Daphnia pulex: one gene and its partner. The protein of the gene in region 2 purifies or fractionates together with the protein of the main gene of each other region. This does not show direct contact. Links are inferred from orthologs where the notes say so. Each region holds a gene or a part of one and is shown on either strand. Other genes may lie near its edges. The genes, in order: replication protein A 32 kDa subunit-like and serine/threonine-protein kinase ATR-like.

Evidence for each region.
Region 1: the proteins of serine/threonine-protein kinase ATR-like (region 2) and replication protein A 32 kDa subunit-like purify together in Homo sapiens (affinity purification with western blotting; 3 studies listed by BioGRID, with this or other methods). This does not show direct contact. The link is inferred for Daphnia pulex from reciprocal best matches to the Homo sapiens genes ATR and RPA2.

The regions. Positions count from the first base shown.
Region 1 is NC_060017.1:2,573,692-2,577,237, forward strand, and holds replication protein A 32 kDa subunit-like, read left to right. Parts: upstream 1-1,197; 5' UTR 1,198-1,340; coding exon 1,341-1,359; intron 1,360-1,418; coding exon 1,419-1,504; intron 1,505-1,561; coding exon 1,562-1,663; intron 1,664-1,726; coding exon 1,727-1,840; intron 1,841-1,899; coding exon 1,900-2,091; intron 2,092-2,148; coding exon 2,149-2,301; intron 2,302-2,362; coding exon 2,363-2,442; intron 2,443-2,505; coding exon 2,506-2,587; 3' UTR 2,588-2,765; downstream 2,766-3,546. Other genes in the region: CWF19-like protein 2, read right to left, coding at 1-699, 786-869; sodium-coupled monocarboxylate transporter 1-like, read right to left, coding at 2,923-3,055, 3,134-3,301, 3,362-3,543. UniProt on the Homo sapiens protein: As part of the heterotrimeric replication protein A complex (RPA/RP-A), binds and stabilizes single-stranded DNA intermediates that form during DNA replication or upon DNA stress.
Region 2 is NC_060021.1:4,789,974-4,794,430, forward strand, and holds the start of serine/threonine-protein kinase ATR-like, read right to left. Parts: upstream 3,000-4,457; 5' UTR 2,764-2,999; coding exon 2,490-2,763; intron 2,421-2,489; coding exon 2,071-2,420; intron 2,011-2,070; coding exon 1,849-2,010; intron 1,761-1,848; coding exon 1,532-1,760; intron 1,472-1,531; coding exon 1,350-1,471; intron 1,286-1,349; coding exon 1-1,285. Other genes in the region: NFX1-type zinc finger-containing protein 1-like, read right to left, coding at 3,424-4,457. UniProt on the Homo sapiens protein: Serine/threonine protein kinase which activates checkpoint signaling upon genotoxic stresses such as ionizing radiation (IR), ultraviolet light (UV), or DNA replication stalling, thereby acting as a DNA damage sensor.

The DNA of each region.
Region 1 (3,546 bases), on a different chromosome or scaffold from region 2:
TCCTGGTTGCGAAGAATAAAACCGTTTGTTTGTATGGGAAACAACTTCGTCACTCTCACTTGGTCTTCTGAATCTTTCTTGAACGGTTGATGATTTTCTAATGTTTTCTGGATGTTTTCGCTCTCGGGATCTTGATCTATCTCTGCTACTAACATGTGTGGAATCTCTATCTGAGGTTCTTTGTTTTTTTCTTTCTGAAGGATTGGAAGATACTGCATGACTATTAGGACTATCATGCCTTTTTGAGGATTCTGCTTCAGTTCTTTCAGGTGGCAAACCAGTTCCTCCATTTTTCCAGTATGGATTTAATTCTCTACTTGACTGCCCTGGTTTTTCCATCATGGTCTTTCTTGCAATTTCTTCATTCTTGTTCAGGGATGTTCGTTTGGGAGGCATGCTACTGTTACTGAAAATTGGAAGCAAAGAAGGCACACTCATCCATTCATCTCTCTCAAGAGGAGCAGATGAAGCGGGTTCTGTTGTTTCAGATGTTTTCTCTACCCATTCATCAGAATCAGAGGAATTGTCTTTTTTCTTGCTTTTTTTATGTTTCTTATCCTTTTTATGTTTTTTTTCTTTTTTACTTTTTTTGGATTTACCGGACAATTGAGCATCCAACTCAGGCAGCATCCATTTGTCTTCACCATTTAATTTGGCCAATTCTTTTTTAGCTTTCCTTTTCTCATAATCTCTTTCTGCCTAAAACAAAAGAAAAATAAACTAAACCAAATGTATACCAGTAAAATACTATTAAATCAAATTGGTGAAATGTGATGGTGTATTACCTTCGCAAGAATTGCCTCTCTCGCTTCTCGTTTCATTTGTCTCATTTCATCTAAGTCTTTAGAATTTTCAAAATTTATCGACATTTCAAAGGATTATTTCTATGGGCTAAAACTTGAAAAAGAAAACTAGAAAAGCAACACAAATTATTTTCAATCAAATTTACAAAAACGAAAACATTCGTTTTGACGTCTGTCGTTTTGAAGCGAAAACAAGCATTGCCAATTTGTTCAACCAGAGTCATCCGGTTCAACTTTTAATTTTTTTTACAAGCATATAATAAATTTTAAAAACGTTAATAAAAACGTTAATTAAAATTATCAATTGTAGTAAAAATTGTAAAAAGATGCCATTTAATTCAATATTGATATCAAATGTTTCCAACTCGTCAACATCGGATTGCGAAAACTAGTTTTCCCGCCATCTATAAAGAAAAGAAAACAGTGGATAGACGCAGTACAAGTTACAACGTCTGCATACCTGATTGAAGTGATTCACGTGCATTACGTTTTGTTTTGAGAACGACAAATTTAAACGAATAATTGAATTAATCTATAATGTGGGATCAATCAGCAAGTAATAAATACAATTTTGTCAAGCTTTGTGTTATTAACTTTACATTCTTTCCATTACAGGCGATTTTGGAAATGGAACAATGGCCGGTGGTTTCTTTAATGCTGGAACTCCAGGAGGCACAGTTAATACTCCTGGAGAAAAGAAGGTTTGAAGACATTTTTAATATCTCATAGACATTTTCTCATGTTTGTTTCATTCACAGGGTGGAGCTCAACGGGCTCATAATATCATTCCAGTTAATATCAAAGATATATTGGATGAAATTGATGAAAAACTAAAGATAGAAGATACTGAAGCCCACATGGTATCCATATTTATCTTCACTTTGAGTTACATTTACTTATGATTTACAACTTATCTCTTTTAGGTTACATTTGTAGGTACTGTCGAACAGATTGAATCCAAACAGACTAATGTTTCGTACACTGTAAGGGATGATACAGGTTCTATTGAAGTTGTTCAGTGGATTGAGGGTGAAGGGGTATGTATTGTGTTCTGCATATGTTTTCACTCATTATTTATTCCAATTTATTTTTGCAGAATGTCCAATCACCTTTTCAAGTTGTGGAAGGGAATTTTTGTCGAGTTGTTGGATCTATTAGACAGACACAGGATCGCCGTCACGTAATGGCATTTCGTGTTGCGAAACTAACAACTGCTAACGAAATAACAACCCACTTGCTAGAGACGCAATGGGTTCGTATGAAGTTGAGACAGATGAAGAGAAAAATGGTAATGAACAACTCAAATGAATGCTTGAACAAAGGTAAATGATTTTTATTTATAAAGGGAGAAGGAACAGGACAATCAATGAATAACTCAGTGATGGGTGGTGGAATGACTGGGCCTTTAGCTTCTTCATCCTCAGCTACTTCCAATGTGGCAAACGGTATCATGTCAGGACTGTCATCTTTTCAATCTATGGTTTATACCATCATTCAGGTAGATTCATTTGTCATCTATGTGATCAAATTCAAACAATAAAAAACCATGTTATTTTTAGGCAACAACAGCGGAAACCGGCATGGAAAAGTCGCAGATCTACAATTCTGTCAGAGGAAGAATGATCCCACGTGATGTAGAGTAAGTGTATTGATGTGGAAGACAAACATGTTTTCATTGATTTTAATTTAAATTTTTTATTAGTGCTGCTTTGGAATTCCTTTGTTCTGAGGGACATATTTACTCTACGGTGGACGAAGACCATTTCAAATCGACCGATAGCTAAACAAGATTAAGATGTACTGTACCTTCATTCTCATTAAATATCTACTAGAATAGATACATTATACTCAAAACTGTGTCGACTCAGTCTGCGGAATTTATCCTGAAGCTATTAATTCCAACTGTTTTGAAATGGTTCAGTTCTGTCTGTCTTTCAACATAAAAGCTTAAATCGTCTAAAATCCATCGGATCTACATCGGATAATTCATTTTCAGTATATTCAAATATCAGGTACATAATGACCACGGATAACTGGATCATGTCTAATTGCTATGGCAAGTGTTTGTGATGCATTCGAAGTAAAATGTTATTTACATCATAGAATGAAGACGTAAATGTTAGGTATCAGGCAAATTTACTTCTATTATTGGTGATAATCTTCTTGGAAGTTCCCACAGTAATATCCCGTTTCGTTGCCTACGAATAACCGTAGCGCCATCGGTTTCATCACTTGGTTGGAGTGCCGCTTTACTATGATAACATTATTGATTCAAAAATTAAAGCTAAACTCGCTAACATGTAGAAAATGTTTTGCTAAAGTTATCTTACTTTAATAGACGGTTATGATTTACTCGGTAAAGTAACTTGGGATTTAGTTTTGCAGGATCTTGCGGCTCAGACAAAATGCTTCCAATGGTACCAATGATTAAGACGATCACCACGCTCAATACCGTGTACCACAAATACGAAATCCGTAAGAGCACAAATGCATCCGCTCTAGAATGGAATGAAATATCGCGTTAAGTTTCAAATTATTATCTAGAAACGGACTCATACTTTTGAATAAAAAAATGAACGGAAGGTGACCCAACGTCTGTTGAATTGAACGACGGGCAGTTATCTGTGATAAGTAGTTTCATTTGATCATTCGTAATTAGATTATTAGTTTTGGCAATTTGTGTGCTTATTCCCAGCAACATCATAATTGCGAAAGATATAATGGCTCCAAATCCTGCTCCCTT
Region 2 (4,457 bases):
TACTGAGTTTCGAAGCAATATCCTTAACCGTCGATGAAGTCCAGCACGTTACAGGGGATGTATAGGCAGACAGCAACAATATCTTGAAGAGGATGTGAAAGCAGTCTGCCATGACAGTTTCCTTCCAAAACTGTACCAAAATGGTTGCGCACGTTAAGATGGCTCGTTGAAGAGATGGTAAATTTTTTTCAACCGAAATTTGCGCCACTTTGTGCAGTTTCTTGGTGATTGATAAACGAAGGGCTTCGGTTCGAGCAGAATGATAAAGAACCGATCGAAAAAGATCCACGCGGTGGAGTAGCGAAATATCATTTTCATCAAAGACAAACTCGAGGAAGAAGAGCGCCATATCTTCAGGAACGATGCTTACTTTTAATGATGTAGCAAGATTTTCGAGATTGTGAGTGCACCGTAAACTCAGTCCATCTTCTGGATTATTAACAACATTCATCTTGCCTGATAGAGCACAGACAAGGTCTGCTCCATTTTTTGTTAACTCCCTTATCTCTTCTCTAGAACCAGAAGCCAAAATGGTGGTTAAGCATTGTGTTATTGATTCGCGGAACGACTTGCTGTGGCGGACGATCCATGGAAGAGAAGGGATGAGTGCCTCAGCGTCAGCTTGAAGAAACTCGATGTCCAAAATCTTCAAGCCAATGTCAACGGCCCAAGGTTTAAAAAAGGCGACGGGGAATTTCACAAAGCAGCTGGCGAAACTGCTCTGGCGCTTTAGAAAAGAAGACTTGAATTTTCGACTGGCCTGTATCCATTTGGCTTCCAGGTCACATGATTCAGAGACTGCCGAGAGCCAAGGAAGAGACGATAGGGCAAACCACGCTATAGCGACGTTCTTATCGATTCCGACGTAAGTAAGTGGGATACAGCAGACCAAATACTCGCAAATTATATCCATCCAAGCGTCCATATCTTCACTGTTGATTTCATTGGTTAAAAGAATTTCACAAATTTTTCCGTTTAAGTTTTCGAAGTCGGCTTCATCCAAGACCGAGTTCATTTCGCGCCATTTCAGTTTCAGTTTGACTCCAACGATTGCGATCCTAACCAAAGCAATAGCGTCGGTCATCTCAATTGATTGACTTGCCGTTTGTTGATTCAATATTTCTTTCCAGCTATTTTTAATTTGTTCCCATAAAGTAGAAGAAGTCGATGGCGGAAGAAAATCAATTTTTAGTCTCTTAGCAGATGGTGGCTCATCAACTTCCATGGGACAGTCTCCAGGCGTCATCTCACTCTGCAAGATGATAAGTAAGGGTGGAATGGCAACCTACACAGGTAAAGAAATTTAGTAATAAAACATTGCTGTTTAATGAAATTCTGTGGTCAGTTACTTTAGCATGCTTTAGCAGCTTGATCCATAAATCAGGTGTGAATCTACAAAGAGAAATTGTTTCCGGGCATGTAAATTTCTGAAGTGCGCCCAGCATACTTTGTAAAAGATTGGGAAGTAAAGCTAGAATAAATTCAAAATTAATGTTATTGTAAGCATTCAAATATATTGAATATTTTATACAAGGTTGGTGGAATTTTTGATGAAGTAAAATAAAACTGATCAGCCTCAGGTATTGGTGATTAGTTACATTGTTCAAGCCGTAAAGACTAGATAGGCGACTGAGACAGTCAGTTAGCGCGATTTCTATTTCTGTGTAGCTATCTTCACTAATTCCAAGCCACAGTGGATTGCTTTTATCCATTAATAGGTTTACTAGGCGGTATGCGTAGCTTAGAAAAACCTCAAGAACCTGACAGCACGAATAAATGAATAAAATATATTTACCACAATGTTAATAGAAACCATAATAAGAGCCTAAGGATGTGTGAAATATTTACTCTGGCTGGATAATTATGAATCATGATTTTCCCAAGGCAGTCCAGTGTAGCTTTAAATGAACTAACTCCTCCATAATTTAGTTGATCCAATAAAATACAAACAAGTTTGTCACACAATTGATGGTTATATTGCAAAATGCCATCAGCTGACAAAGCAAAAATCTAAAAATATGCAAAAATATTTTGTAGAACACTAACAAAATTGTAATTTACAAAAGATACCTTGGTAATGCTATTTTGCAGAAGGGAGCATTCTAATAATGAATTTAGTTGCAAGCCATCCATCTTTAAAAGGCAATCTGCTGCAAGTGTTACTGGTTCCTTGAGAACGAAGGAGTGTAGCTTGAAGCTTCTATTGCAGACTTCTTCATTGGATTGTTTTGATACAATTCCTACCAATTCCTTCAACAAGTTGGCATATTCATTAACAATAGCAGTAAATTGGGCAGGTTCTTTATCTCTGAATAGATTCAAAATTTTAACATTCAGCTCAATAAATGGATTAAAAGCTTTCATGTATGAATTCCGAGTAAATATAATGGCGAATCTGCCAAGGAACCATTTAGTGTAAGCTGCAAAACAAACAGATGTTAATTTTGAGAGAAACCAGCATAAGACATTAACAGAAATGTAAATCTTACCAAAAGCTAAACTGTGATCGTTTTCATTATTTCCACATCCAAGAAAAACACCTTGATTATTTGGTTCACGGCAGCATCTGTCCATGACAGACATCAACACGACAAAGCTTTTTTCTGAATGATCTAGGTCAGCTAAAATTTTTAAAGCAGGCAAGGCCATCATTTTCCGGTGATCCGAAACTGCACTGAAGTGAGCACTTGTTGAGCTTTCTTCTTGAATTTCCATAGTTGTAGTCTTTTGACTTTGTTCTACTTTTACTGCTAAAGATGTCATTATGTAAACTTGGCAAACAAAGTACTAACGAAACTATGCAAACAAAGTACTAACGAAACGGGGCACCTTGAAGTACCACGACACACACCACGAAACTAACGCAAAACTAAAGCTAACAACAACCATATCACCCGCATCAGCAAATTACGATCACGTGTGAATAGCAGACGGATTCAAAGAAAAAGTCCAGTTTAAGAGGTTTTGGCGCCCATCTTACATTTCAGCGTTGGCGGATTATAAATAAGAAAACAAGGCAGTAGTAAAGAAAATGCAAAAAATGAAAAATAACTACGATAAAAAATTTAAAAAAAGTCTAGGTTATTATAATTAATCAATTACGAAAACGAGTTCAAGAAGACAAGACATTACAACTTTATTACAAGAAACCAGAGTCGAAGAAGAATTTCCTTATTCCAAACAATGAATACAGACAGAGTAATATTGTTTCATGTGGTCCACCAAAATATTTTGAATAACAATACAAAACTTAGTTTTTTTGGGGGACAAACAGCATCATACATTCCTTGCTTTAGAGTTTTAGACGCCAGCGAGCGAAAATGAATAAAAAAAAAGTTATTAAGAAATGTCCATAATGACTGTATCACCGTGGTATCACTAAGAACCGAACACTTGATAGATAGATTAGATGAATGATAACACTTAATCATCTATTTCAAAATTGGCCATATTATTTGCCTGCTCTGACCATGCAGCAAATCGAGCCCCATCCATTTCGCCTGCAACGCGGTTGTCTGATCGAAGCGTATGACTCCCTCCGCCGATTTGGGCGCCGCACTCGTTGCATTTGGCTTCCTGCATTGCTCCTCCACACTCTCCAATCGCGTAGATGTGGCCATTCGGACATTTGAACCAGTGTCCCTGTGTAAGTCCCATGGCCTTAATAATTTCCTTACGTTCGATGTCGCTGATGCCAAGTCCAGTATTCAATTTTTTGCCCATCCTCTGCAAAGTTTCTTTGATCACCACGATCTCACGATCCCTCAATGGCTTCACATTCTTCATCAACAGCTCTTCTACCTGCCGATTTTCTTCGTTTATCAAAGAGTTTCTGTTGTAGGTGGAGGAGCTCTTCAACAAAAAGAAGGCTCGAATCAAGTTCAAGCGGTTGACTTCGGCAATGAAACATTCATGTTCTTGAGACGCAAATCTTTCGCGATGGAAAAGAGACAAAAGAAGTTGTTGCGTTCGATTTAAAAGATCCTCCAGCAAAGGGCGACTCATATATCCAATTGGAGCTTGATTACCAGTTGCTGTAATCACCGGGGATTTTCTGACGACGCTCAAAACTCTTTCTATGACATCAACTTGAACTTGGATCAGATAGCGCGTATCTTCATCCAAACGTTTATACTCGGGTTTTTTTCGGACAATAGTTGGAGTGAGGTTATTCCGAATTCCTTCCAATCCAAAAATTAAAACATCAGTGATGCCATGGTTGAGTTTACCAGTCAGCTCAGTATTTAGGGTATGGCATGTCGCAATCTGTTTTAAATGCTTCTCGGCGAAATCTTTGGGGCTTTCACGAGAACGCAAAAGCATCCTCTTTACTTCCACAATGTCGCCGAAATTTCGCTTGATAACATTTCCGTAACGGTAACATGAGCGGATAATGGTTTTACAGCGCGGGCAGCATTTCATTTGGATTTCACGAGTTTCTTCATCTTTCATCTCCA